Linked DNA regions of Canis lupus familiaris. The protein of the gene in region 5 interacts with the protein of the main gene of each other region in a pairwise test. Links are inferred from orthologs where the notes say so. Each region holds a gene or a part of one and is shown on either strand. Other genes may lie near its edges.

What was found.
Region 1: the proteins of KXD1 (region 5) and CCDC185 interact in a two-hybrid assay, tested with the Homo sapiens proteins (2 studies listed by BioGRID and IntAct). The two-hybrid records come from large-scale screens. The link is inferred for Canis lupus familiaris from reciprocal best matches to the Homo sapiens genes KXD1 and CCDC185.
Region 2: the proteins of KXD1 (region 5) and LRRC45 interact in binary tests that used the Homo sapiens proteins (3 or more experiments, as listed by UniProt). The two-hybrid records come from large-scale screens. The link is inferred for Canis lupus familiaris from reciprocal best matches to the Homo sapiens genes KXD1 and LRRC45.
Region 3: the proteins of KXD1 (region 5) and C15H4orf46 interact in binary tests that used the Homo sapiens proteins (3 or more experiments, as listed by UniProt). The two-hybrid records come from large-scale screens. The link is inferred for Canis lupus familiaris from reciprocal best matches to the Homo sapiens genes KXD1 and C4orf46.
Region 4: the proteins of KXD1 (region 5) and GABARAPL1 interact in binary tests that used the Homo sapiens proteins (3 or more experiments, as listed by UniProt). The two-hybrid records come from large-scale screens. The link is inferred for Canis lupus familiaris from reciprocal best matches to the Homo sapiens genes KXD1 and GABARAPL1.
Region 6: the proteins of KXD1 (region 5) and MOB1A interact in binary tests that used the Homo sapiens proteins (3 or more experiments, as listed by UniProt). The two-hybrid records come from large-scale screens. The link is inferred for Canis lupus familiaris from reciprocal best matches to the Homo sapiens genes KXD1 and MOB1A.
Region 7: the proteins of KXD1 (region 5) and MAP1LC3A interact in binary tests that used the Homo sapiens proteins (3 or more experiments, as listed by UniProt). The two-hybrid records come from large-scale screens. The link is inferred for Canis lupus familiaris from reciprocal best matches to the Homo sapiens genes KXD1 and MAP1LC3A.

What each region holds. Positions count from the first base shown.
Region 1 is NC_049259.1:24,499,196-24,502,513, forward strand, and holds CCDC185 (coiled-coil domain-containing protein 185), read right to left. Parts: upstream 2,165-3,318; coding exon 614-2,164; 3' UTR 501-613; downstream 1-500.
Region 2 is NC_049230.1:1,121,797-1,124,380, forward strand, and holds part of LRRC45 (leucine-rich repeat-containing protein 45), read right to left. Parts: intron 2,415-2,584; coding exon 2,302-2,414; intron 1,987-2,301; coding exon 1,928-1,986; intron 1,664-1,927; coding exon 1,586-1,663; intron 1,319-1,585; coding exon 1,183-1,318; intron 1,101-1,182; coding exon 1,023-1,100; intron 709-1,022; coding exon 597-708; intron 495-596; coding exon 424-494; intron 41-423; coding exon 1-40. UniProt on the Homo sapiens protein: Component of the proteinaceous fiber-like linker between two centrioles, required for centrosome cohesion.
Region 3 is NC_049236.1:56,143,745-56,147,899, forward strand, and holds the start of C15H4orf46 (renal cancer differentiation gene 1 protein), read right to left. Parts: upstream 2,801-4,155; 5' UTR 2,708-2,800; coding exon 2,522-2,707; intron 1,026-2,521; coding exon 870-1,025; 3' UTR 1-869. Other genes in the region: ETFDH (electron transfer flavoprotein-ubiquinone oxidoreductase, mitochondrial), read left to right, coding at 3,411-3,444.
Region 4 is NC_049248.1:10,352,222-10,356,332, reverse strand, and holds the start of GABARAPL1 (gamma-aminobutyric acid receptor-associated protein-like 1), read right to left. Parts: upstream 2,801-4,111; 5' UTR 2,519-2,800; coding exon 2,429-2,518; intron 1-2,428. UniProt on the Homo sapiens protein: Ubiquitin-like modifier that increases cell-surface expression of kappa-type opioid receptor through facilitating anterograde intracellular trafficking of the receptor. Involved in formation of autophagosomal vacuoles.
Region 5 is NC_049241.1:44,895,443-44,899,740, reverse strand, and holds the start of KXD1 (kxDL motif-containing protein 1), read left to right. Parts: upstream 1-1,498; 5' UTR 1,499-1,630; intron 1,631-4,298.
Region 6 is NC_049238.1:49,414,908-49,419,138, forward strand, and holds the start of MOB1A (MOB kinase activator 1A), read left to right. Parts: upstream 1-1,431; 5' UTR 1,432-1,652; coding exon 1,653-1,666; intron 1,667-4,231. UniProt on the Homo sapiens protein: Activator of LATS1/2 in the Hippo signaling pathway which plays a pivotal role in organ size control and tumor suppression by restricting proliferation and promoting apoptosis.
Region 7 is NC_049245.1:24,182,743-24,186,313, reverse strand, and holds MAP1LC3A (microtubule-associated proteins 1A/1B light chain 3A), read right to left. Parts: upstream 2,086-3,571; 5' UTR 1,931-2,085; coding exon 1,891-1,930; intron 1,613-1,890; coding exon 1,557-1,612; intron 1,484-1,556; coding exon 1,377-1,483; intron 1,103-1,376; coding exon 940-1,102; 3' UTR 501-939; downstream 1-500. UniProt on the Homo sapiens protein: Ubiquitin-like modifier involved in formation of autophagosomal vacuoles (autophagosomes). While LC3s are involved in elongation of the phagophore membrane, the GABARAP/GATE-16 subfamily is essential for a later stage in autophagosome maturation.

The DNA.
Region 1 (3,318 bases), on a different chromosome or scaffold from region 5:
TTTGTGACAACCACTAGGTTTCACCATTAATTTCTTTACTGCAGGCCTTTTCAGAGCCTTTAAAACCTTCAGGTGCATTAGAAACAGCTAAGAGGGCACGTGGTGTGCAGGGTTCCCAGACCACTTGTTTGCAGAGAGCCTCCCACTCACCCACTCACACAATCTCTTCTTTCTTGGAGGTTTCCTGTGACTTCACACCTCACGTCACAGTGATTATTTTACTTTCCGTCCCTCAGAGCATCCGTTCCCAATACCAGTTATAATGTGTGAGTTCTGGGATGGCCAAAGACTTAGGACCTGGATCTGAATCCCCTCCTGTGGATTCTTCTCTAGTTCCTCAAGGAGGGGCCTGATGTGCGCTTCTAAGGTTACCGGACAGCGAAATGAGTATTTTCTATTTAAATTGAAACTTAGGAAGGCAAGGCCTTTTCTTAAAATCCCGGCGTGTGTACCCCCAGCCCTCCCAAGTCCCGGCATGAATCAACGAGCGAGTTCAGGAGTGGAAAGTGCAGGTATTTTATATATTTTCTGAAACCTGTGCTGGTGGCGACCCGGTTCTGCAGGGCGTAGAGGTGCCCGCCTCTGCCTCGCCCCGGCGCCGGGCGCCCCGCTCTCAGCACCTCTGCGGCCCTGCCCCGTGCGGGCCCTTGAGCGGCCTCTGCTCCAGGAGGCTGGTGGCCAGCGCGCGGGCCTGGTCCCTCCTCGAGGCCCAGGACAGCTTCTGGAACTCCTGGAAGGCGGCGTCGCTCTCCCGGGAGATCTGCTCCAGCCTCTGCTCCTTCCTCCTGACGGCCTCCTTGATGCCCTCCATGATGCCCTCCACGTGGCCCTTCTCCTCCTTCTTGGCTGTCAGCCTCAGGATGTGACGGAGCTCCTCCCGCGGGACGCTCAGCTCGGGGTTGTGCTGCCCCTTGTCCCTGGCGCTCCTGTGCTCCGGACTCCTGGGCGGCCACCTCTCCAGCTCGGCCAGCTGGGCCAGCAGCTGCTGGTGCGCCCGCGTCTGCACCTCGGTGGCCCCTGCGTGCGGCTGTACCTGCCTGAGCTGCTCCTGCGGCCTCTGTGGCCTCTGTGGCCCGGTCCTCGGCTCGTGCTGGCTGTCGAGGGGCTGCGGGCAGCTCTGCTCCAGGGACAGCTTCCTCAGCAGCTCCTCGGCCTTGGCCTGGCAGTCCAGGAGGACCCTCCGCGCCTGGTGGTTGACCAGCGAGCTGAGGCTGGTCTCCCAGGCCCTGGCCTGGGTCTCTGGTGCCGGCAGCTTCCCCGGACAGGCCTGCATCCCGACCTGCGGCCCATCCTGCTCCCGCGGGCCCTGCACCGCCCCGGGGGGCTCCTGCAGTGGCGGCTCGGGGCCCTGCGTCCGGGGTGCGGGCTGCGCCTCCGAGGCGGGGGCTTCCCCGGGGTGTCCGGACCTGGCGCTGCCCCTGGGCTGGCCGTCCGGCCCGCGGCCCCGCGGCTCCTGCTGCGGCCACTGGGCCGGGCTCTCCGGGCTCTCCGGGCTCTCCTGCAGCAGCCGCCCGCGCTGGCGGCCCAGGGTCGCCTGCACCCTGTGGCCCGAGCACTGGAGCTCCTCCGGGGCCGCCTGCCGCTGCAGCTCCCGCATGCGCCGGGCCCTCTGCAGCCGCGCCAGCACCCCCGCCGCCCTCTGGTCCCCGGGCCGCGCCGCGGCCTCTTGCAGCGGGTCCTGCCGGCTCTGCGCGCTCGGGGGGTCTGCGCGGGGCCCCGCGGCCGGGCCGGGCCGGCTGCCCTGGGACCCCCGCGGCTCGCAGGCGGCCCTCCCGCAGGCGCACGGGCAGGCGCACGGCGGCCGGACCCCCCAGGCCGCCACGGAGGGCTCGTCCGGGAGCCCCGAGGCCCGGGACCAGCGCCCCGCGCCCCCCGCGCGCCCCGCCCACAGGTCCCCGCTCTGCGCCCGCTGCGCCCCGAGGCTCCCGGCGGGCGGGGGCAGGGGCGGGGGCGGGTCTCCCGTGGCCGGGGAGGGCTGCGGGGGCCCCCGGGGCTGCGGGCGGGGCGCGGGCGGGGGCCGGGGCCTCCTGGCGCGGGCGGGGACCCTCGCGGCCACGTGGGTCAGGCTGTGGCTCTCCAGGGGCGAGTCGGGGCACCCCGCTTCCCGAGGGGACCCCCGCAGGGGCGAGCGCGGGGAGCAGCGGCCCAGGCCCAGGCCCTCCATGCTGCGCCCCTGTGCGCCCCGCGGGCCGCGGCCCCTCCCGAGCCCCACCCGGGCCTGTGACGCGGCGGCCACTTCACAAAGGGGGGCCTGGCCTCGGGGCTGCGGGAGGGGGGGCTGCGGGGGATGGGGGAGGGGGAGGGGCTGGCCTCGGGGAGTGCGGGCGGAGGGGAGGGAGGGGGCTGTGGGTGGGGGAGGGAGGGCCGAGGGTGGGGGAGGGGAGGGGGAGGGGGCTGCGGGTGGGGGAGGGGGGCCTGGCCTTCCGGGGCTGGGGAGGGGAGCGGGGCTTGGGGGCTGCGGGGGGGGGGGGGGGGGTGTGAGGGTGGGAGGGCCTGGCCTTCGTGGGTTGCCGGGGGAGAGGGCTGGCCTTCGAGGTCTGCGGGGAGGGGGCCTGGCCTTCAGGGGCTGCTCCGCGGGGTGCCGGGTACTGGGGGGGCACAGGTGCACCTGGAAGGAGCTGGCTGGAGGCAGACCGCAGCGCGGACTGCGGGCATGGTGGGGGGCACGGGCCGGGCCACGCCTCCGAGGTTTGCAGAGCTCCAGGCTTGCCTCCTGCGCTGGAGCAAGCCCACCCCTGTGTGTTTTGTTTGCCTGTTTTCAACTGAAGTTAATATAGGGGTCTGCAGAAGTTTCTGCAGATTTCCTAACTCAAGAAAAGAATGAAAAAAAAAAAAAAAGAATGGAATTAGGGCAGTTCTAAAGCAGGCTCCATGCGGAGCATCTCGGGGTGTCCTGCTGTCTGGGGGTGCAGTGGGGAGGCCTGTCTGGGCCTCAGTCTCCGGGTACGGCCACCTGCAGAGGAGCGGGATGAGCAGGGGTCCTGCTGTCCCCTTCACCCGCATCTCCTGGCCACCTCGCATCAATCCCACCAGGCAGGGCCTATAGGATTGATAACAAGTCCTTAAGACAAACCTGAGACCCTGGAGGTCACCTGGCCCATGGCAGGGGTTTTCAGACTCACCCCTTTGTCCACGTCAACATGCGCCTCTCAGGACGTGCGCTTGGGGTTGGGGGTGCTGTGTCCCTGACCTGGGAGCCCACCGCCCTCGGGCCCCACTAGTGGATCAAGGCCCAAACACCCCGTGGGTTGGTCCTTGGGGGCCGGCCTTTGCGAGGTGCGTAGGGTCCTTTGCAGGATGAGGGTGAGGCCCCATGCT
Region 2 (2,584 bases), on a different chromosome or scaffold from region 5:
CCCTCTCACTCTCTTCCAGGTGGCGAGTCATGTGTTCCACCTGCCAAGGTGAGGGGCAGGAATGGGGCTGGAAAACTAGCGCCCCAGCTTACATCCCCCATGCAATCTCCACCCTGTGGCAGGCAAATCGTGGTGACACTTCCTCCTGAGAAGGGGCTGCCCCCCTGGCTTGGCAAGAAGTAAAGATGGAGGGCACGTCCCAGGGCCACGCCCAGACGGCACGGAGCACCTGGCAGCCTGTGCTATGGTCCTTTCTAGAGGCTGGTCGGGAGTTTCTGGGTCTGTCACTTGCTGGGGCTGGCCGAGATCTACCACGCAGCACCCCAAGGCTGCCAGGGAGCACAGCAGGGGTGTGCTTTGGGGACACCATGCCCCTGAGGTTCCCGTGGGCCCTAGGCAGTCACAAGGGACGGCAGGTGGCACCTCCTTGGCTCGCAGCTGCTCCAGGTCCTCCGAGCTCTGTCGGGACCTCTTCTTCTCCAGTTCCAGACGCTCTGGAAGCCCAGGGGAGACAGCGTGGGTGGGACTCCCCGGGTGCCCTCGCCACCCATCCTCCCCTCTCTGGGCCCCTCCACTGTGGGCTTGCATGTGCCCACCCTCAGCCTGGATGGCCCGCGCCTTCAGCTCAGCCACCGTGTTGGTCAGCTCCTGCCTGGCCAGGAACAGCTGCTCCTGCTGAGATCTCACCTTCCGCTCCAGCTCGTCCACCTGGGAAGCCAGCACCATGGACGGAAGCTCCGGTCTGGCCCCTGCCCGTGACCCTGTCCCCCTGTGGCCCTGCCCCCTGCCTGTGGCCCTGGCCCCCTGCCTTTGCCCCCTTCCCCGTGGCCCCAGCCCCTGCCCTGGCCCCCTGCCCCATGATCCTGCCCCCTGCCTGTGGCCCGGCCCCCTGCCTTTGCCCCCTTCCCCGTGGCCCCAGCCCCTGCCCTGGCCCCCTGCCCCATGATCCTGCCCCCTGCCTGTGGCCCGGCCCCCTGCCCCCCACCCCAGTCTCCCCAGGGCCCTGGCCCACACCCCCATACCTGGTTCCGCAGAAGCAGGTTCTTCTCATTGGCAGCAGATAAATCTTTGAGGAGCTTAGACTCCCGTTCTGCAGCCTCCTGAGGGGGAGATGGGGCATCGCTGGTCACCCCGCCTGCCCGCCCTTGCCCACCCTGTGCCCACCCAGCCCTCCCTGCTCACCTGCTGCTCTAGCCTGTGCTCCTTTGCCTGCCTCTGTGCCAAGCTTCTCTGCTCCTGCTCTGTGGTAGCCAAGAGCTCCCCCAGGCCCTGGGCCTTCTGCTCTGACAGGGCCAGGGCAGCCTCGGCCATCTGCAGCCTGGGAGGAGGGGAGAGCCAGCCCCGTCCCAGCTTCGCCTTGAGCCTCGCACACGCGGTGCCGTTCTCACTTTTGCCCACCACTCTTCACCTCAGCTAGAGCTCACCTCCTCCAAGACGCCTTCCGGGGTTACCAACCCAGGGATCTACTTTGTATACTGGGGACTAGTTCTTGTGTGTGTCACTTTTCTACCGTGGGTCCATCTCTAAAATGTTCCAGAGCCCCCCACTCCTGCCCGCCCCCACTCCTGCCCCCAGCCCCACTGACTTGGCCTTGAGGGCATTGATGATGGAATGTCTCTCGTTCAGGGCTTCCTGAAGCTGACCCATGCGTGCTGCTGACGCCCTAGAAGCAGAAAGGAAGGTCCGAGAAACCTCAGAGCACTCCCAGGCCCCCTCGCTCTGGCAGCAGCGGCTGCTCCTCATGCTTCCACGACGTCCCAGCCGCGGCTAGTGGTATTCTCAGCGGCCGCCCCGAACCCGCCAGCCCGTGTCCTTGGGAAGCACACGCCACCACCTTGGCGGGCAGGTGACGAGGCTTGGGGTCAGTCATCCCACAAGGCCGAAGCCAGGACCCAAACCGCAGGCGCACCGACGGGGCTGCACTCACCTGCTGCTCCTGGCCATCTCTTTTCGCTGCTTGTCGATCGTCTCCATCAAGTCCAGAAACTGGGGGCAGAGGTGGCCAGAGCCCTGTGAGGGCCCGGAGCCCGCCTGCTGGCCCTGCTCAAGCTGGAAGGGGCGCCGACGCCCAGTCAAGCAGCAGAGCGGAAGGGCACTGGCCTCACAGGAGGAAGGAGCTCCCGCACTGGGGAGCGCAGAGGCCCCAGGGATGCCCACCTGCCCGCCTAGACACGGGCCAGACCAAACTGGCCGAAGTGCTGGCCAGTCAGAGGAGCTTGGGGTCCTGCCGGCCCCCCGAGGCCGGCCCCTTGCCCCGGCGGCTGGCATGAGGCTCCGCGGTCAGAGCAGTGCTGTCCTCACCTGCCGGGATTTCTCTTCCTGGAGATGCTGCACCTCCTTGCTGAGCACCTGGGTGCGGGCCTGATTCTCCCGGGAAGCAGCCTGCCGCTGCTGACTGTGGGCTATGGCTTGCTCTGTGGAAGGAGCCCCGAAGGCCAGCATTAGCCCAGCCCCGGGCCCCGAACCCGTCACCCGACAGTCGACACTGTGGGCAGTCTTGCCCCACACGTCAGAGCGCGCCGTGAGGCCAAGGGCTGTGGAGGCATAGGGAGGGGGCAACGGTGGGGCCAGGAGCCCGGGAGGG
Region 3 (4,155 bases), on a different chromosome or scaffold from region 5:
TTATGTGCAAAATTCAAAAAGGGTACAGAGCCATAATTTTGATAAGGCACTTTAAAAAGAACATACAACATCACAAAGCATGTAACCTGAGAAATAAACAGAGAAAAAAATATATATATACATTCTTTCTAGACAGCTTTCATTTTCTGAAATAAAAACTTTAAAAAGCATCATGAAGGATGAAGGATAAAAAACATTTACCATATATTTTTAAAAACTGTCATCAGTTAAATATCAAATCCCCGTTAAAAAAAAAAAAAAAAAAATTCCTTCAAGTCAGGTTCTGATTCAAATATTTTTTTGAAAAACAATTACAATTTTCACGCTAAAAACAAGAAGAAAAAAACAGCTTTTAATTGTACTGTCAACTCATTTATTCAACAAACATTTACTGGTTTGAACACTACCCTTGTTCTAGGTGCTGGGGATAAAGAAGACAGACACAATCATTAGTTCCAGGGAACCTGGCCTAGTGGAGCTGGGCCAACACTAGTAGCCTTAAAGTTATTTCCTTTGGTCCATAAAATGAAGCTCAACTTCAAACTCGGGCATTTTCAGCATCTTCTTGGAAATCAAATAGAATGCTCTACCTGTTTTTTTCTACTGGTAACACTGTGGCATTATTAACCTTATCTAATGATGAAATAACTTTCATAAAAGATTCTATGAAAGTTTAGAGAACAGAAAGTATTTAAAGATAGATATTGGCCAGCATCAAAAATAGCATCGGTATTCTGCTTTCACAAAAGTGAAGAAAACAAAAAAAAAAAACTGCATTCTGAATACACAGACTGCTGGAGACAACCTTATACTTATGGTACACATGCAAACATCATAAATGAGCAAGTATGAATTATCACACAGCCAAATCAGTTGTCAGGCTTCAAAGAATCATAGCCTTCTTTCAAGAGGTCCCGCCAGGTTTTAAGGAAGCGTGCATTTTCTGTACATTTGAAGGCAAGCTCTTCCACTTGAGCTGATACTGCAGATGTGGCTTCAAGAAGTTTGGTTAATGAAAATGCTGCCTGAAATTTAATGAAAACAAAAAAAAATAGAGTCAAACAATATAAAACACCAGCTCTTTCCAGAAACCTAAGAAATTCTTTAATATGACGTAAGCTTTGAGGAATATGTCTGCTGGAAGGACATCCACTATGTACCAGACATAACAAGTCAGTACCTTTTTTTTTTAATTGAAAATACTCTAGGGGCACCTGGTTGGCTTAGTCCTAGAGCAAGCGACGACTCTGGATCCCAGTGTTGTGAGTTCAACCCGACATTGGGTGTTGAGATTATTAAAAAAAAAAAAAAAAAAAAATCTTCAAAAGAAAGAAAATAGGGATCCCCGGGTGGCTCAGCGGTTTAGCCCCGCCTTCAGTCCAGGGCCTGATCCTGGAGACCCGGGATCGAGTCCCACGTCGGGCTCCCTGCATGGGCCTGCTTCTCCCTCTGCCTGTGTCTCTGCCTCTCTCTCTCTCTCTCCTCTCTGTGTATTCTCATGAATAAATAAATAAAACCTTTAAAAGAAAGAAAATACATCAGACTCTCATTAAGATAAAAAAAAGAGGACTTGGATCCCTAGACACTAAGCTCCAGAAGCCTCTGAAGGGCTTCCTTCATCGTAAACAACTGCCTGGCAGGTAACAGGAGTAGCGTCCCACTAATTTAACCTGTGAACACTACTTACACCATGAAAATGCACAGACCAAAGAACAGAGAGATACTCCGAACGGACAAATAACATCAACAAAACCAAAACAAACTAGAGCAGCCTACACAAAATATCCAACTCTTGGTGCAATTCACTTCTTATTCAAATGTTTTTTCTTCACCTATTAATCTAACATAACACTGCTCCTAGATAAGAGATCAGCGGTCCACTCTACATATTCCCTTGATAACCAGTCCCGTTCAGCGAAAACTGAAGCTGTGTCAGCACTTCGATCATCTTGAAAACAAAACAAGACGGAAACGCAAACGCTTGCTAAGCGAGGAGCGACGCTCCCACCTGCACGGGGGGTCGAACGTGCAAGCGCACGGTTCTCCCAGGAGGACTGCACCCCGCGGACCTCATTCGCTTGCCTCCCCCACCCCCCGGAGTGGGTGTGCGAGGGGGTGTGACCGCCGCATTAGGAGATGCAACGGACACCGTGGGGCTCGGGCCCAGCCGTCAAGGAAACCAATCGGGGCCACAGAAGCCCTAAGGGAGCCCCAAAACGGGGTGCAGCACGCCCGAGGCCCGCGGCCCGGGCACCCGGCAGGCGGCCACCCAGAGCGGCGGGGTCTCGCGATGGGGGATGGTGGCGAGCCCCCGCGAGCCGGAGGCCCTCCCCTCCCCTCCCTCCCCTCCCCTCCCCGGCCGCCTGCTCGCGGCCACCCTCTCCCCACCCCTGCCTCCCTCCCCCGGCCGCCGGCTCGCGGCCCTCCCCAGCCCCCTCCCCTCCCCTCCCCCCTCCCCTCCCCCCCCCCTCCCCCCCTCCCGCGGCCTCCGCGAGCGCCGGGACCGTCCGCCCACACTCACGTCTCCGATCTGCAGCTCCACCTCCTCCAGCGGGTCCGCCGACCGGCCGCGGCCGCTGCTCGGAGCCGGCCAGCCCGACCTCCCCGGAACGCCGGGGGAAGAGGCTGACGAGGCCTCCGAAGACGAGGGGGAGGAGGGGGGCGGCGGCGGCGGCGAAGAGACCCGCGCCTCCTCGGGGGCCGCCATCAGCGGGGCTGGGACCGCGGGTCGGAGCCCGGCAGCCCGACCCACACCCACCGCCGTTCAAACCGCTCGCGCCCAGCGCCCGGAAGCCCCGCCTCTCCCGCCCGAAGCCCCGCCCGGTCTCGGCGGGGCCCTCTGCCCAGGGCCGCGGATGCCGGTCATTTTTTTCCGGACGCCCAATCAGAGGTCAGTTCGTTCACCTTGGGGCAGTTCATCGCTCCTGCGCAAACTCCAGTGAGGCTCCGAAGGCGCCTGGGTTAGAGGACTACAACTCCCAGAATGCTGTGGGCGTCGCTCCGCCACCCCTCCCCCCGCACACGCACAAACACTACTTTTGATGCGCACCCATATACCGCGGGATCTGTGAGTCCCTCTCACCCGCCCTCCCGCGGCCTCGCCACGCCTTGCTGAGACGCGAACGGAGAACCAATCCTCAGCCTGACCCCGGGGCCTGCTGGGACTTGGAGTTCTTTTCCCTCGCCCGCCTCGGCACCTGACCCGGAAGTCCCTGCCGGCCGTGAGCGTCACGCGCGGCGCCGGCGCACAGCGACAAGGAGGCGGGGCCGTGGGGAAGCCGAAGCCGCGGGCAGCGCGGGGAGGGGGACTGCCGCCGAGGTGTCGGTGTTTCCCGGCGAGTGATGGCGCCCCCCGCGGCCTAGACGTCGAGGCCCGCGGCGAGCCGCAGGCGGCCCTGGGACCCGTCAAGATGTCGGTGCCGCTGGCCAAGCTGTCCTGCGCGGGTGAGAGGGGGCGCGGGGCTCGGGGCGAGGAACGGGCAGGGCCGCCCCAGCTTGAACTAGGGCAGAGGTCGTGCGGCGGGCACCTCGCGGGCACCTCGCGGGCACCTCGCGCCCTCCCCTCGGAGGGAGGGGCTTGGAGGACCCGACAACTGGGCCGGAGGTCACGCGCGGCGGGGGAACCTTCCCGACCCTCTTGGGACCCTTACCCGGAGCTCGGGTCGGGTCCCGCCTTTGGCTTCGCGGCCCTCCTCCCTCCTAGTCCATTCTTGAGAACGTGGAGTCTGAAAATTAATAAATTAATTAATTAATTAACTAATTAAAAATTTAAAAAAATACAAAAATACAAAATACAAAAATAATAAATAAATTAAATAAATCTAAATAACTAAATCAAAAATAAATAAAACTAAATAAATAAAACTAAAAACTAAAATTAAATAAATAAGTAAAACTAAATAAATGACTAAAAACTAAATAAATAAATAACTAAAAACTAAAAAACTAATTAAAAACTAAAACAGATAAATAAAAACTAAATAAATAAATAATTAAAAAACTCAATACATAATAAATAAATAAATCTATGTTGAAGTCTGACCTGCAGCCCTCCTCCCTCCTAGTCCATGCTTAAGAACTTGAAGTCTGAAAATAATAAGAAAGAAAGAAAAAGAAAAGAACTTGAAGTCTGACCTGTCACATCGTGATTAACAC
Region 4 (4,111 bases), on a different chromosome or scaffold from region 5:
GCAGTGTTGAAGGTTTTCAATACACTGTAGCTATGCAGATACTTTAAGATCCAAAGAAAACCTTTCCTCTCAAGGCAGGAGCACATCCATTCTTTTGGATGGTAGCTAAGAGATAAGGAGGGGCCTAACTAAAACTGAGTTATGTGAGCAGTCAGGGAACCTGATTGCTTTGGTAAATACCAATGGCCCAGCTGGAAGGGGTTTTAGAAATCACTTACACTAACCCTCTTTTCTGTACACTTTAGTACAGCAAGATTAAGGATCTGGCCCAAAACTAAATCTCACAACTCAGAGAGCAGAGCTCTTCTTCCTGCATCACGACCACAAAGAAGGTCACAGGCTGAGCACCTAAGGAGCAGCTGGAACGCTTATAAACTGGTTAAAACCCAACTGAAGGAACCATGAGACCTGAGTGATGATTCTAAGAGCTGACAAGTAATCACACAGGCCAAACATTTTTAACACCAAACAATGAGCAGGAAAAGAATAGGGAAGATTAGCTGAAATACTCTGGGTGAATGCATGTAAGAGACTGAAATGGCAAGGGCTCGGTTTTGAAGAAATACATGGGAATTTTAACTAGATTTAGGAACAGGTACCTTTCAGAGTTTGTGGCTTAGGCAGAGCTACTGGAACAGAGCCTCATACTGTTCTGAATAAATGGTAGTCATTTTGCTCAGTGGGTTACCTTTCTGGCATCATACTTCTCTGACCTTTCTAGGGCTGCAATGTTTTTTCTTAATTTCCAATACCTAACAGTGTGAGTCACACAGTGCCTCCTTAATTAATTCTGAGATTAATTTTCCTTAATTCTTAATTAAGAGAATTGTATTAGAAATTGAGAAACGATATGGCATGGAAGGTCCAACAACCAGAGTTGGAATCTCAGGCTCTGCCACACACCAGCCACAGGAAACCTTTAGGAATCCGTCATTTCTCTGTGCTTCAGATCCTTCATCTGTAGAATGGGATTATAACGGTGTGAAGATTGAGTAAGGTCAGAGGACATGCAATACTGTCAGTATAGAGCAAACAATCAACCAATGAAAGTTAGTTGTCATTTTTAACTATTAGACGAAAGGAGGCTTGCTACCACCACAATTGGGGCAAACTTTTGAAGCTGTCACCCAAAGTCCAGATACCAAACAAGTAATTTGTGAAGGATCATTTACTGGGTGGGTAATAGAGCTAGATCTCCTTTTTAGCTGAAAACCCTTGTGTACAATTCGTGGGGAATGGAACAGACCTAAAGTCTCGCTTCCTTATAAAGGACTGCAGGGGAGTTTTACTGCAGGCATTAAGGCCCAAGTTGCTTCCAGTAGCTGTAACACGATGAAAATTAGGTAAGGATTGGAGAAGAGTCCCAAAGAGTACCTGCAGGTCAAGAACTGACAACACATAATCACAATTACTTTGCCTGTACATAATACGTCATCTTTATCCCAATGTCCCTGCCTGAAGATAGTACAATCTGACAGCCTCTGCTCCTCCATCTCCAAAACCCAACGGTGGTTGTTCCCTCTACCACCACACTCAAAAGTCTTCTGCCTTCCAATCTGGCTGCGCAGCCTACATTACAAAAAAAAAAAAAAAAAAAAAAACAGGCAAGCGGCGGGGGATGGGGCGACGAAAAAAGCGCCCGGATGCAGAAAGCTACCTTAATGTTTCTCTGTTCTCCCCACTGCCGGCACTAATTTTAACCACAGAAACCAGCTTCCAAGACGGAAGCAAAAGGCCCCAGTCCTTCATGGTTGTGTCCAGGTACAATCTGATAGAATAAGTACAGGAGGGAGGCTGGCTGCACCCTCACAAGCCCCTGGAGCCAAGAATGATGAGGCAATCGGGCTGTGGCGCAGAGAACGTGACCTTGTTTTCTGGGCCAGGCCTGTCTCGTGCCCTCCCCTCCCCCCCCCCCCAACAAAGACACTTTTCTCATTCTTATGGAATAAAAGAAAGGATCCACTGATTTCTGAATCTATCCCTCCCAAACCCAATGTTCTGAGAGCCAAAGTCAACTTCAGGGAGACGCATCGAAGGCAGAAATCCATGGCCGCAAACCTCACTGCACCAAGTTATTTCCAGAACAATTTCCCTGGGATTCTGAAGGACGCGAATGTATGGTCCCATCTCGATCCTGCTCTCACTAAAGGGCCACGTTCTGGTCACTTCTCACCCTGCACATCCTCTGAATACTGCTGAGTCACTCAAACGGAGGCTCCGCTCTAAAGATGACGGGGAGAGCGGCCCCGGGGAGACGGGCCGTGCAGGGTCCGCAATCAGGACGTGCGCTCCACGGCTCTCCAGGGGCTCAGCAACCCTAGAGACCACCCCTCTTCTGTGCCTCAGGGCAGCCACCACGACTCCCGGGTTCCCCCAAGCGCGCTCAGCCCCTTCCCCCCTCCTCTTCCCTGCCCCCCATTACACTCACAGGGACCCTGTCCGGATATTTCTTCCGGATTTTTTCTCCTTCCTTTTTCCGATATTCAAAGGGATGGTCCTCCTTGTACTGGAACTTCATGATGGACCGCAGGGTTTCTAAGATTCCCCGGCCGGGGCCTGCCTTCCTCGCGGGTGGCTGCGTCTCTCCCGCCTCGCCTCCCCCTGCCGAATTTCGATGTAGGTGTCAGAACCGCCTGAGAAACGTCAGCTCCCGTCGCCACGCGCCTTGGCAGAGCTTGCAGAAGGGACGTCGGGTCCCCTCGGACGCAAGACGGAGTCGCTCAGGTGGAGAAATCCCGGCGGATTTTCCCCGGAGCCTCGAGCACAAAAACAACACGGCGGCGCGTTGGTATTATGACGTCATGACGTCCCGCCTCCCCGCCCCGCCCCCAGCCTTCGGACGGCAGCGGGGGGCGGGGGGGGAGGGCGAAAGTCGGTCCGGTTCGGCGCGCTCCCCTCTCCCTCTGTCCGAACTCTCCTGCGTCGGGAGTATTGCGAACATATAACTTTTTTACTTCGAATTTCGTTGTGTGGCTGTGACATTAAAAGTGGTTTGGATGCAAAAAAAAAAAAAAAAAATACGTTCTAAAGATATCTTATTCCCTCTTGCTCGCTGTTTCTTGGTTGGATCCAAAAACAAACACAGGGGGCGAAAATCGAGCTCTTTCCAGCTTATTGGGATCTGGAATCTAGGAGAAGAAAGAATGGGGGTCGTCGGGTGCCTTTGGCCCGGTACGGAAGTGCCCGGTGCCTGCACTGTGCCCTTTGCTCCTCGTCTGCACCCCCGCTCCTGGGCGCTGGGCTGGCGCGCTCCGACCGTGACCCTCCTTCACCACGCGCGCGCACGTCATTTTGTTTGGGTCCTTGCCGCAATTCGCTCCTAGAGCGGCAGCAACAACAGAGCATGACTCAGGAATTTGAGATGTAGAAGCTGAAGGGCAAGCTTGTCGTCAAGGTCCTGAGAAGTGATGTCAGTCATCGCTGCCGAGGGCGTCGCTCACGCTCCGATATAGAAATGATTCACTTTCTCCTACGAACTCAGAGGGTGGGCCTGTCTTCTGGAAAAGAAAATAACCAAGCAATTCAGGTGGTTCACAAAGTACCTCTTAAACATTTCTGTTGTTTTTTTTTTTAATTTTTATTTATTTATGATAGTCACAGAGAGAGAGAGAGAGAGAGAGGCAGAGACACAGGCAGAGGGAGAAGCAGGCTCCATGCACCGGGAGCCCGACGTGGGATTCGATCCCGGGGCTCCAGGATCGCGCCCTGGGCCAAAGGCAGGCGCCAAACCGCTGCGCCACCCAGGGATCCCCCATTTCTGTTTTTATTCTGCAAAAATTCACCAGAGGATAGTACTACTTGTTAAGTGTCCCTAAGGTGAAATAAAGTGCCACCCGAAGGGCTGGTGGAAGACTGGTGGGCCACCTGCCGTTGTCGCTTGCCTCTGGCCGTCCCCTGGCCCCACTAAGAATGGAAGAATTAAGGCCTTTCCAACCACTGCCAATGGCAGTGATTCCAGGGATTGTAGATCAGCAGGAGGAAGGCAGAGAAAATTGTAAAAGGTATAGAAGAGAGAGGAAGGACCGCTTTGCTTTGATCAAGTCCAGGGAGCTCTGAAATAAATATACAACAGCAGTCCCCATGTCTCTGGTTTAAAAAACAAACCCACAAA
Region 5 (4,298 bases):
TATTAAATTTAAAAAAATTATTTAAGGGAGGAGGGGGCAGTGAGAAAAAGGAGAGAGAATCTCAAGTAGCCTCCCCACTGAGAGAGGAGCCTGATCCCACAACCCTGACATCAGGACCGGAGCCAAAATAAAGAGTTGGATGCTTAACTGACTGAGCCACCCAAGTGCCCCCCCAAATGGAGACATATTGAAAGAACATAGAAGCTAACCTAAAGGGGCAGCAAAGTAACTAATTAATTGTAGGAGCTGCTGGCTGGCTCAGTCCTTAGAGCATGTGACTTTTGATCTCATCCTGGGTTCAAGTCCCACCTTGAGCATGGAGCCTACCTAAAATAAAAAAATAAAAAGAGGAAAATAAGAAATTATTGTAACCCACAAAATAAAATGCTCATGAGTTCATAGTGACATACTTGAATAAATGTATAACTAGAAAAGAATGGACAGCTGTTGTTTATAATAGAATTCCAATTAATGATTAATTAATAAATAGAAAATCACCATAGTAATTGTTGCCAGCAAGAACCATGGATGGATGCTAAAACTAGTGGGTGAAAATGTATTAAAAAAAAGTTAGGGTGTTTGCATGGTCTCTTGAGGTATCTCATAAGATACTTATTGAAAGGGAGGAAAGGGTAACTTAACAGTTGAGAAACTGGCAGACATTGCTTTAAGCAAGTAACCAAAGTCAACATCACCAATAATGAGACACATCAATATCCTATGACTCCAGATACGATGTATTGAAAAAGACACAACATCATTTCTGTGGGATTCCTGCCCAAAGTGTTAGGGTTAGGGTTAGGGGTTAGGGTTAGGGTTAGGGGAAACATGAGGAAACATGGGACAAACCCATATTGATGAGTAGTCTACAAAACTAGCACTCTTCAAAAGTACTAAGGTCAGGGGATCCCTCGGTGGCTCAGCGGTTTGGCGCCTGCCTTCGGCCCAGGGCGTGATCCTGGAGTCCCAGGATCGAGTCCCTGCATGGGGCTCCTTGCATGGGGCTCCTTGCGTGGGGCCTGCCTTCTGCCTGTGTCTCTGCCTCTCTCTGTGTGTCTCTCATGAATAAATGAATAAAATCTCAAAAAAAAAAAAGTATTAAGGTCATAGAAGACTAGGAAAGACTGAGGAACTGCCACAGAGTGGAGATTTTGGAGACACGACTAAACGCAACATGAGATCTTGGATGGGATCCTGGACCAGAGAAAGGTCACCAAAAGCGGAGAAGGGATTTTTGAACTAGATGAATCTGATTCCCAACCTAGAAAGCAGGCTGCCTGGGTCTGGCTCAACCACAGGCCACTTGAGCACCGCGTGACCTTGAAGAAGTCCCTGCCACCGTCAGACCTCAGTCTTACCTTCTACTAAATAGGATGCCCGCCCCCTTCCGGGCATCTCGGGCGTTGGAAACTACGCAGGCGCGAGAGAGACTGCTTGATTGGCTATTCGTGGTGACGCACTTGCGAACAGTAGCAGCCCCTAAGCCCCACCCCTTCCTGCCGCGCCTCCTAGCACGCATATCGGCCCCAAGCACGTCGCCTACACGCCTGATCGCACGCATGGTGCGTGGTGACGTCGCGGCGGCGCGGGCGCCATCCCGGAAGCGCGAGCAAGGCCGCCAGATGTGCAGGTGCTGCTGTCACCGACGCCGGGGCCGAGTTCGGGGTGGGGCTGGGGACGCCGGGACCGCTGGGGAGCCGGGCCGGGTCGGGCGCGGCCCCGGGCTGTCGCGGGGTGGGGCGCGCCGCTGGCCACATCTGGGCTCCCCTCCTGCGTACAGGCCTCAGTTTCCCCGTCCGCGCAATGTATGCGCCGGCGGCGCCACGGGCCGGTTCCGGATCCGGGGCGCGGGAGCTGGGGCTGACTATGTTCAGGCTGTGCAGTGTTACCCGGAACCGGGCGTTGCCCTCTTTGGGCCTCAGTTTCCCCGCTTTGCAGGGGCGGGGCGTGAGGGGTTATGCGAGTCCCACCTCACTCGCGGGTTTTGCTAAGGTTGGGTCGCCAAGTTAAATTTTGTTAAATAAGCGGATGGAATTATGGTGCCTCCGCCTTGCCGTGTGACCTTGGGTAACTGAACCCACCCGTGTGCGCCTTAGTGCCCTTGGAGATGATAGTGTTTGCTTTATAGGGGAGATTGGGGATTAAATGAAGTGCTGTCCAAGTGTTTGTTCCTGTTCTTGGAAGTACCAGGGAGCCCCTAGCTAAAATGCTGGTTCCCCGGCCCCGCCCTAGGACTTCATACTCTGCTTGGAGAAGCAGCCCGCTCTGAGCCCAGCTCCTTATCACTATTAGTTTCAGTACCCACAGACAGCGCTGTAAGGTTCTGATTCTTTGTTACTCTCCTTTTCTGGATGAGAAAACTGATTCAGGGAGGTGAGGTGACTTTCCCAAGGTCACACAGCCTCCCTCTCTGCATGTTTTCCTCATAAATACATTTGGAGCAGGGATCAGAGCTCTTGCTGGGTAATTTCCACCCTGTATGTGGGCCAGACTAGCTGTTAGCGAAGTCTTCCTGAGAAAGGCAGCTGGATGGAGAGTGTGCCTTGAATCCCTCAGCCCCATCTGGGACCCAGAGACAGGAAAGAGCCCTACTTTGGAGCAGAACCATTTTCCACGGGTCCAAATCTTGCACCTGCCAAGCACTAGCTGTGGGGCTTCCTGCCACAGGGCTCTGCCCTTCGAGCCCAAGTGTCCTCTTTATATATGATCATACTTCTTTGGAAATGTGGATACTGTGGGTGGTAGTACTTGGCATGTAGTAGGAATTCAATAAACATAGTGATTATTGGGTGAGGGGAACTTCACCAGGTGTGGCAGTTTATTTCCAGAAGACAGTAGGGGCTGCAAATAACTCTTGGCCTCCTTGATGCTTGCAGGGAGAAAAGTATTAACATTTGTAAATGAGGCAATTTCACACGCACGCATGCACACACACACTTCTGGTTTGTTTGTTTTTTTCCTGGAAAAATTCAGAAGTGTGGCAGAAGTTAGTTGCTGTAAGAAGCAGCTGTCCTGGCATAGGTGAGCATTGAAGATCTGTTCAGAGTCACACTTTTGTGGATCCTGCAGACTGTGGGCTTTTGAGTTGTGACTTGGGTTTACTGGCTATGTGACAATGACCCAGTTCCTCAGTGTCTGAGTCTCAGTTTCTTGATATGTGATTAAGGATAACAGTTCTCAGTGTATGAAGCTTAGTGGTTTGATAGCATGCAGTAAGTGATCAATAAAGAGGAAGGTAGAGTTAAGTGGGCTCTGAAAGCCCTTCCTGGTCCTGTATGTGAATCTCAACAAATTGCAACTGGGCCTTTCTGTTGGCAGGTAAATATGTAGACCCCAGAGCCAAGCTATGTCAGGACTCCAGGTTTTGTTTTTTGTTTTTTTTTTTTTTAAGATTTTATTTATTTATTCATGAGAGACACAGAGAAAGAGAGAGGCAGAGACACAGGCAGAGGGAGAAGCCGGCGCCATGCAGGGAGCCTGATGTGGGACTGGATCCCAGGTCTCCAGAATCACACCCCAGGCTGAAGGTGGCGCTAAACCGCTGGGCCACTGGGGCTGCCCAGGACTCCAGGTTTTGCAGGACACTGCCACCTACCCTCAAGGGTGAATGCTGAACCTGTGGCCCCTCCTGCCCTGGCATGGTCCAGGAGGCCCCTACCCGCCATCATGCTCATCTGCCTAAACACAGAGCCATCTAGGTTGCTGGGGCCCACAGACTGAAATTCTTGGCTTTAATTGTTAATAAAAGTCTACCGTCGTCGGAGTGCCTGAATGGACTGAATCCATTAAGCTGCTGCCTTCGGCTCAGGTTATGATCTCCAGGTCCTGGGATTGCACCTCACATCAGCCACCCTGCTCAGTGGGGAATCTGCTCCTCCCTCTCCTGTCCCTCCCTCCTTCCCTCTGCTCATATGCCTTTTCTTCCTTTCTCTCAAATAAATAGATAAAATCTTTAAAAGCAAAACAAAAGTCTATTGTCCTAACTAGAGGTGAGTTTGAAAGCTGCTAAGCTAAGTTCTGGTGATCCTTGCTGTGAGCCAGGTTCTGGGCTGGGCTCTGGAAGAGAGACATACCTCTTGGAGCTGACAATGTTTTGGGAGCAAACTGGTGAAAAGGTCAACTGATGGGGCACCTAGGTGGCTCAGTTGGTTAAGGTTCTACTCTTGGTTTCAGTTCAGGTCATGATCTCAGGGTCATGGGGTTGTGGGACTCTCTCCCTCTCCCACTCCCCCTTCCTTCCTTTTGTGTGTGTACACATATGCTCTCCAAGATAAATACATCTTAAAAAAAAAAAGGTC
Region 6 (4,231 bases), on a different chromosome or scaffold from region 5:
TGCTCAGCGGTTTCGCCCTGCCTTTGGCCCAGGGAGCGATCCTGGAGTCCCGGGATCGAGTCCCGCGTCGGGCTCCCGGCATTGGAGCCTGCTTCTCCCTCTGCCTATCCCTCTGCCTCTCTCTCTCTTTCTGTGTGTCTATCATGAATAAATAAAAAAATAAATCTTTAAAAAAAAAAAAAGGACAGTAGTAATGCGCCTGGGTGGTTCAGTCAATTGTACATCAACTCTTGATTTCCTCTCAGGTTATGATCTTGGGGTCATGGGATTAAACCCCACATTGAGCCCCATTTGAAGCCCCTCATTGGGATTCTCTCCCTCTGCCCTTCTCCCTGCTCACACATGCTCTCTCTCTAAAATAAATAAATGATGTGATATAATGAACACTGAGTATTATGAGACTGGTGAATCACTGGGAAATAAAATAAAATAAAATAAAATAAAATAAAATAAAATATAAAATAAACGAATCTTTAAAATAAGGTAAATGCACCTGAAAACACTTAAAGAAGAAAACAATAGCAAATGTCATCAAGAATATGGAAATATTAGCACCATCAGACGTGCCATGGTGAACATAAAGTGGTCCTGCCAATTCGGAAAACAGTTTGGGAGCTCCTCAAAAAGTTAGACGTATAGTAACCATAGGACCCAGCCACTCCTGAGTATAATACCTAAGAGAAACGAACACATTTGTCCATGCAAAAACCAGTACAGGAATGTTTGTAGCAGCATTACTTGTAATAGCCAAAATGTAGAAAGAACTCCAATGTCCATCAACGGATGAAGAGGTAAACAAAACAGGTATACTCATACAACGGAATATTATTCAAGCCATAAAAAGGAATGAAGTATTGATACAGTGCTACAATGTGGATGAACCTTGCAAACATCATACTTGGTGAAAGAAGCCAGTCACAAGACCATCTATGGTATAATTCCATTTATGTAAAATGTCCAGGTGAGGCAAGTCCATATAAAAAAGGAAGACTGTTGTCAGGGGATGCCAGGAGTGAGGAAGGAGAATGACTGCTAATGGGCTTCTTTTCAGGGTGATGAAAACATTCTAGAATTAGAGATGATGGTTGCATAACTCTGAATAGAGGAAAAATATCACTGGAGTATACATTTTTAAAGGGTGAATTTCATGCTGTGTGAATTACATCTCAACTTAAAAATCAAAAAAAAATTTAAAAAAAACTGCAGCGCTTTTAGAAACCCCTTGCCCTATAGAGAGGATGCCCACAATCCAAGAGCAAACACCCAGACCAAGCAGAAGGTGAGCCACTCCCCCAAGCCAGGGACGACGACCTGGCCGTGCCTCCAGGAGAGGAAGTCCCGGCTGGGAGGCCGCTGATTGGCTGAGCTCTGGGGGAGGGCGGGGCGAAGAGGGGTGCGCCGAGGCCCTTTCGCAGGGGCGGGGCGGGCAGAAGCCTTCGCTCGCGAGATTTTGCTGGTTCCGCATTTCGGGTCGGCGAGGTGGGGGAGGCGACGCCGCAATTGCACCGGCTAGACCCCCGGTTTAGAGCTGCGGCGCCCGGTGCTTCCGCTGGCCGCGAGCTGAGGACTGGCCGCTTCCTCGTGGTTCCCGCGCGGGCTCCGAATCCAGACCGCGGCGGGGGCCAGCGGCCCCTCCCCTCCGAGGATAGAAGATGAGCTTCCTCTTGTGAGTGTGGCCGGGCTGAGGGTCCCCGGGCTGAAGGCCGAGAGCCAGGGCGAGGAAGGGGCTACCGGAGCCAGAGGCGAGGGCCGGGCCCCGGGGGCCGGGGCGGAGCGGCGGACGCCTGCCTCCCCCTCCCACCTCCTCCCCCGCGGGCCGCGCGGGAGGCCCGGACGTGGGCCCTGGCAGATGGAGGTGAAGGTCGAGGCGGGGGAAGCGGAGCGAGTGGGTTGCGGAGTCGAGAGGCCCCGAGGCCGCCAGTGCCTCCAAAGTTTTCCGCCCCAGCGCGGCTGAGGGCGGAGGGACGACCCGGGGGCGGAGCCCGGAGCCCCGCAGCTGGGCTCCCGATTCCCCTTAAGTCTGGAGCTTTCCAGTCCCGATCCCTGCTGACTTAGCTTTTTACTCCACCGTTATTATGTCACGTTTTAATATCTTCGGTATTAAGTTACCCCCGCGGAAAAACGCTGCCCCAGGAAAACGTGGAGTGCCACAGCTTGAGCAGCTTCAAGTTGAGCTGCCGCCTTGCTTGCAGACTTCTGTCCAACTCGGATTCAGTCAGTCCACTTTGCGATTTTGTGTAGATTTTAGTTAATAATCTGCACCCATCGTGGGGCTCACATTTACGATCCCAAGACCGAGAGTCGCATGCTCTACTGACTGAGCCAGCCAGGCAGCGTTGTGACTTTGTGTAATTAAATTTTCTGGGTAGAATCCTGTTTTAGAGATACGGCCTGGGGCCCAAATGAGTCTTAAACGGAAACTTTTGTAAATTCTCTGATGATTCTTGAGCATGTTAAAGGTTTGGGAAGCATCTCTCCAGCACCTCATTATTTTCAGAAGGCTCTTTCTACCTGATACATTACTTAAATACATGCTGTGTGATTGAGGACACATCCATCACACACATACTTGACATTTTTGTTAGATTTTATTAAAGCACATAGTGTTCTGTAACGAGAATTTATCTAGTTCCTTAATGTGAGGATGTTTTGCTTTGGGAGGCAGGTTATGCTCAGAGACTGAGTTTGTCTTTGCCAGCAATTTATTTAACAAAGGTTTGCTGTAGGATTTTCACAGGCCAGTAGCATACCGGATCATGTCTCAACAAACTAATGAAATACTCCCGAGTCATTGATAGATTAAGTACACTGTTTTTCCGGGCAAGGAGAGATAAAAGAAAGCAAGCCCACGTTTAGTTGAGGTGCTCCTTTCTAGGAGTTGGTACTGAGGAGACGGGTTGGGCTTAGCCAACCCAGAGCTGAGGTCCAGCTGCCAGCACTAAAGTAAAAGTCCCTTGTTGCCAGGCAACCATGGCGCTGGTGTTGACCAGCAAGTGGATTTTCCTTCTGGACTGGGCATTTGCCTGGCAGGGGCCGGTTGCCCCAAGGTTTAAGAAAGCTGTTTAGATCAGCCAAGTGTCACCTTGTCCAGACGGAACACTCTCAACTACTCCTCACAAATTCTTGGTATTTATAGTCAAAGTGTCTCCTTGTCATGCTTGCTTCTTCGTAAGTTTTCACTGATAAGCCCCAGCAGGGCCGCTTCAGCTGCCAAACTACTGAGTTATGGGTGAGAACAGATGAGATGATGACATCTCGACACTATTTACCTCATATTTACCTCATTCTTATATGAAAACGACTTTTTTTGGTGTTTGTCATAAACAAGTGGATTAAAACAAATTTCACTTAAGTCATAAACAAGTGGATTTGAAATCTTATCAAACCAATACACAAATTTGGATTCTATCTAGTATTTTGTTATTATAAAATAGCACTACTGAGAGTATCTTTGTTCAAATCCTTTTTTCCCACCTTTCGATTATATTTTTAGGAGTATGATCAACACAGTGTGATTACCATGTCTGAAAGTTTGTATGATTTAGATGTAATTGTAAATCTCTATATTACTGGAACAAACTTTCCCTCCACCCCCAAGGTCTTTTTTTTAATGAGTTAATGTTTAGTTAGGGGTTTGTTTGTGGGTGCTCACCTGCTTAGTTACTTTTAGGATTAAAACGTGAGGCTGTTTTTTAAAAAAACTGTTTTGTTGACAGGCATTTGAGTTTCCACTTTTTGGCTATTACGAATAATGTAGTTATGAACTTTTGTGTTCAGATTTTTGTATTGGATGTGTATGTTCACCTCTCTTGGATATATATGTAGAAGTGGAATTGCTGAGTTATATGGTAACTGGTTTAATCTTTTGAGGAACTGCCAAACTTTCAGAGCACTGCACCATTTTGCATTCCCACCAGCACTGTGTGAGAGTTTCAGTTTACGCACACTGTAGGTAGCACTTGTAGTCTTTCTGATTATAGTAATCCCAAGTCGATGTGAAATGTTACCTAATTGTGATTTTACTTTGCATTTTCCTAATGATTAATGAAGGTCAGCATCTTTTTGTATGCTATTGGCCATTTGTAAATCTTCTTTAGAATGTCTATTCAAATTCTGTGATCATTTTTTTTAAAGATTTTATTCATTTATTCATAGGGAGAGAGAGGCAGGGACACAGGCAGAGGGAGAAGCAGGCTCCATGCAGGGAGCCCAACATGGGATTCGTTCCCTC
Region 7 (3,571 bases), on a different chromosome or scaffold from region 5:
GGCTGCATGGACTTCAGGGGGTCAAAGGGCCAGAGGCTGGGCCCAGCCCTCTAGCCAGAGTTCCCAGCAGAGGAGTCCTCAGGCAAATGAGGTTCGAGTCCAGGGTTACAAATCTCTGGCACCAGAGGGGAGCCATGGCTGGCAGCAAGGCCTGTGGGGAATAGCCAGGAGCAACTCCACTTGGACCCCCACTTTTTGGCTCTGCATACCAGGGAACCCCCTCCATGCTGGAAAGGGGAAGAAGCAGGTGAGCAGGATTTGTTAGGTTGTGGCTACTTAATAAATCTTTTTTGTTATGAAATCTATCCTGGGCCCACACTGAACTCCTGGAAAGGGTGGGCTTGGCCCCTTATATCACCACGGTATACCACACACTGGTGCGAGTTTCCAGAATGAGCCCCAAGTCCACAGCACACAAAGCTGTTCCTAGTGAGCTGAAACTAGTATGAGACAGTGCCACCCGAAGCCCTACCCATTCCCCAAGCAGCTGGAAGCAAAGGGCCAGGCAGGCCTGAGCAATCTTTATTCTGCAGAGGAACAATGACCACAGATCCATACACCATGTCAAGATCAGGTGAGCCAAGGGCCAGTCCTTCAGGGGTGGGCAGGTCCAGGCAGGGGGGCAGCGCCTCAGGTGAGGGAGGGGCAGATGGGCAGGGGCCTAAAAAAAAGATAAATCACACGAGCAAGAGTGCTGGGGGCTGTTCCCCACCCTCCCCCATCCCAGCCAGCACCCAGGAGGGCATCCCTAACAATGACTGGCCCAGGATCCACCCAGGGGCAGAGTAGGTGCAGTTGGTGCCCCCTGGCTAGGGGGCCAGCATCCCTGCCCAGCCCAGCCCGGGCAGAGCAGTTCAGTTCAGGAGCCAGGAGTTCCCTGGGCAGAGCCTGACAGGGCACCCCCCCACTCCCAGGCCAACCACCCCCCCTACTGCTGGCTCAGAAGCCGAAGGTTTCCTGGGAGGCGTAGACCATGTAGAGGAAGCCATCATCATCCTTCTCCTGCTCATAGATGTCCGCGATGGGTGTGGACACGCTCACCATGCTGTGCTGGTTCACCAGCAGGAAGAAGGCCTGCGTGGGGTTCAGCTGCAGGCGGCGCCTGGGGTGGGCAGAAGAGCAAGCCAGTATGAGGGGACCTGGCTCCTGGGTGGGTGGAGCCCTACACCCCCCTTCCCCCCAAAGGATTGAGGTGGCTTCACACCCATCCCAGCCCCTTCTAGGAGCCCTCACCTCTGACCTGACACTGATCCCAGCCCTGACCTTGACTATCCCAACCTCTCCAGAACAGAGATTTAAGGCCAGGCCCGGCCTGCTGGGGCCTCGCCCTCCCCCAGAAGGACCCAAGCCCCTTCTGACTGCTGCTGCCCACACACCGGATAATCTTGACCAACTCGCTCATGTTGACATGGTCTGGGACCAGGAACTTGGTCTTGTCCAGGACAGGCAGCTGTTTCTCACCCTTGTAGCGCTCGATGATCACCTAGGGGTGGGGCGGGGGATGCGTGAGCCCGGCGGGGCCTGGGGCCGCGGGGATGGGGGGTGGCGGGACTCACCGGGATCTTGCTGGGGTGCTGGTCGCGGATCTGCTGCACCTCCTTACAGCGGTCGGCTGCGGACAGAGGGCGGGCAGTAAGGCCGCGGTCCCGCTCGCCCTTCGCCCCGCCTGTCCCCGGCCCCGCCCCCCAACCCCCGCCCCCAGGGCCATCAGGCCCTAGGGCCTGGCACCCGCCGGCTGGGAGGCGAGGTCCCGGCCCAGGCCTGAACCTGCCTCACGGCCCAGGGGTCCAGCCCGAGTCTGACGTCACGGGGCTGACGTCGCCTGCGGCAGTGAGGGTCAGTCTCGCGGGGCCCCCTCCCCGCGCCCGCTGGCCGCCCGCCGGGCCTCACCGAAGGTCCGCCGCTGCTTGAAAGGCCGGTCCGAGGGCATCGCGCGGGCCCGGCGGGGCGCGCAGGCCGGGGCTCCGGGGCGCGCGGCTGGGGGCTTTGGCGGAGGTTCGGGGGCTCCGCGCCTCGCGCTCAAGGGCTCCGGGGCTCGAGCTGAGCCTGGCGGCGGTGGCTCGGGGAGGTAACTCGCCCGGGTGACGTCAGGTCACAACATTCCTTAAAGGGGAGGCCGGCGCGCCACTCCCATTGGGCCGACGCAAAACCCTCCCGCCCGGACCCGTGACGTCACGGGACAGAGCTGGATTCCCGGTCTGGGCCGCGAAGGGGCGGGGCTTCCTGGGCACGTCACAGTCCGGTGATGTCATGGGCTGCCGCCCCCTCTCCCCGAAGCCGGGGTTGAGCCACCTCTCGGCTCCCGCAGCCCGAGAGCCCGAGAGCGAGCGGGAGCCAGAGCCAGTCCCCAGATCGGCATCTTTCCGTTCCCACTGGTGCCAAGTCATCCCATAGGACACTCGGAGTCTGTTCTGTTCCAGCAACGGTGCGAGGCACCGGGGGTGACAACAGTGAACCCAAAGACCTTCTCGCCTTCGTGGAGCTCATGATTAGAGAAAAAAAAGCTAGGGTGAGGGGATTAAAACATGAAAGAGCAAGACACTAAAAAGGAACACAGGTTTTAGAAGGAATTTCTAGAATTAGAAAAACTATTGAAATTCAGGTCTCAAAGGATGAGACAAAAAAGTAGATTAGATATAGAAGATAAGCCACTGAACTGGAAAATAGATCAGAAGCAACTCACCAGAGAAACTAGGTGATGGGCAATGTAAAAGAGGAAGTGAGTCTTCTCACTTCAGTCCTATCACAGGCCCAATCAGAATTCCAGAAGGAGAGAAAAAAAATGGGAGAGGCAGTACCTGAAGAAGAGCTTACAAACTTCATTAAAGACCAGGATTCTCACATAAAATCCAAAGCGGGATAAATAAAAGTAGCATTTTGGCACTTTGTAATGAATTTGCAGAACTCCAAAGAGAAGATAGAAAAATGGTGAGCAACTCAACTGGCAAACATGTGAGTAGATCTAAAACACAGTGGAACATGAACAGTGACGGTTAATCTGTGGAGTACAAAACAAGAAAGGACACAACTGGTAAGACTGGAGAGGGCAATCAGTTCAAGTGTTCTAAGATGCCTGATTTGAGGGGAGAAAGATAAAGATACTGATAATTGCCCAGCTTTGTAAACCAAAGTGTGTATTTCAGACACTTATGAGGGATCACTAAAGAATGGAAAGTGTAATGGCCAAAGCAGGAAAGGAGAAAAAAAGTAGTTAAAAGAATGGTAAATGATACAAAATCAGAGGTAAAAAAGATTTTACATTCACCTATTAAAACAGATGATCAAAAAAATTTAAAAAAATAAAACAGATGATCAGGGCATGTGGGTAACTCAGTGGTTGAGTGTCTGCCTTCTGCTCAGGTCCGGATCCTGGGGTCCTGGGATCGAGTCCTGCATCGGGCTTCCCACAGGGAGCCTGCTTCTCCCTCTGCCTATGTCTCTGCCTCTCTCTGTGTCTCTCATGAATAAGTAAATAAAATCTTTAAAAAATAAAAATAAAAAAGAAATATACAAAGTGAGTAGCTATATACCTAAAAAAATTAATCCAGATGGTTTTCTAAGTGAACTCCTC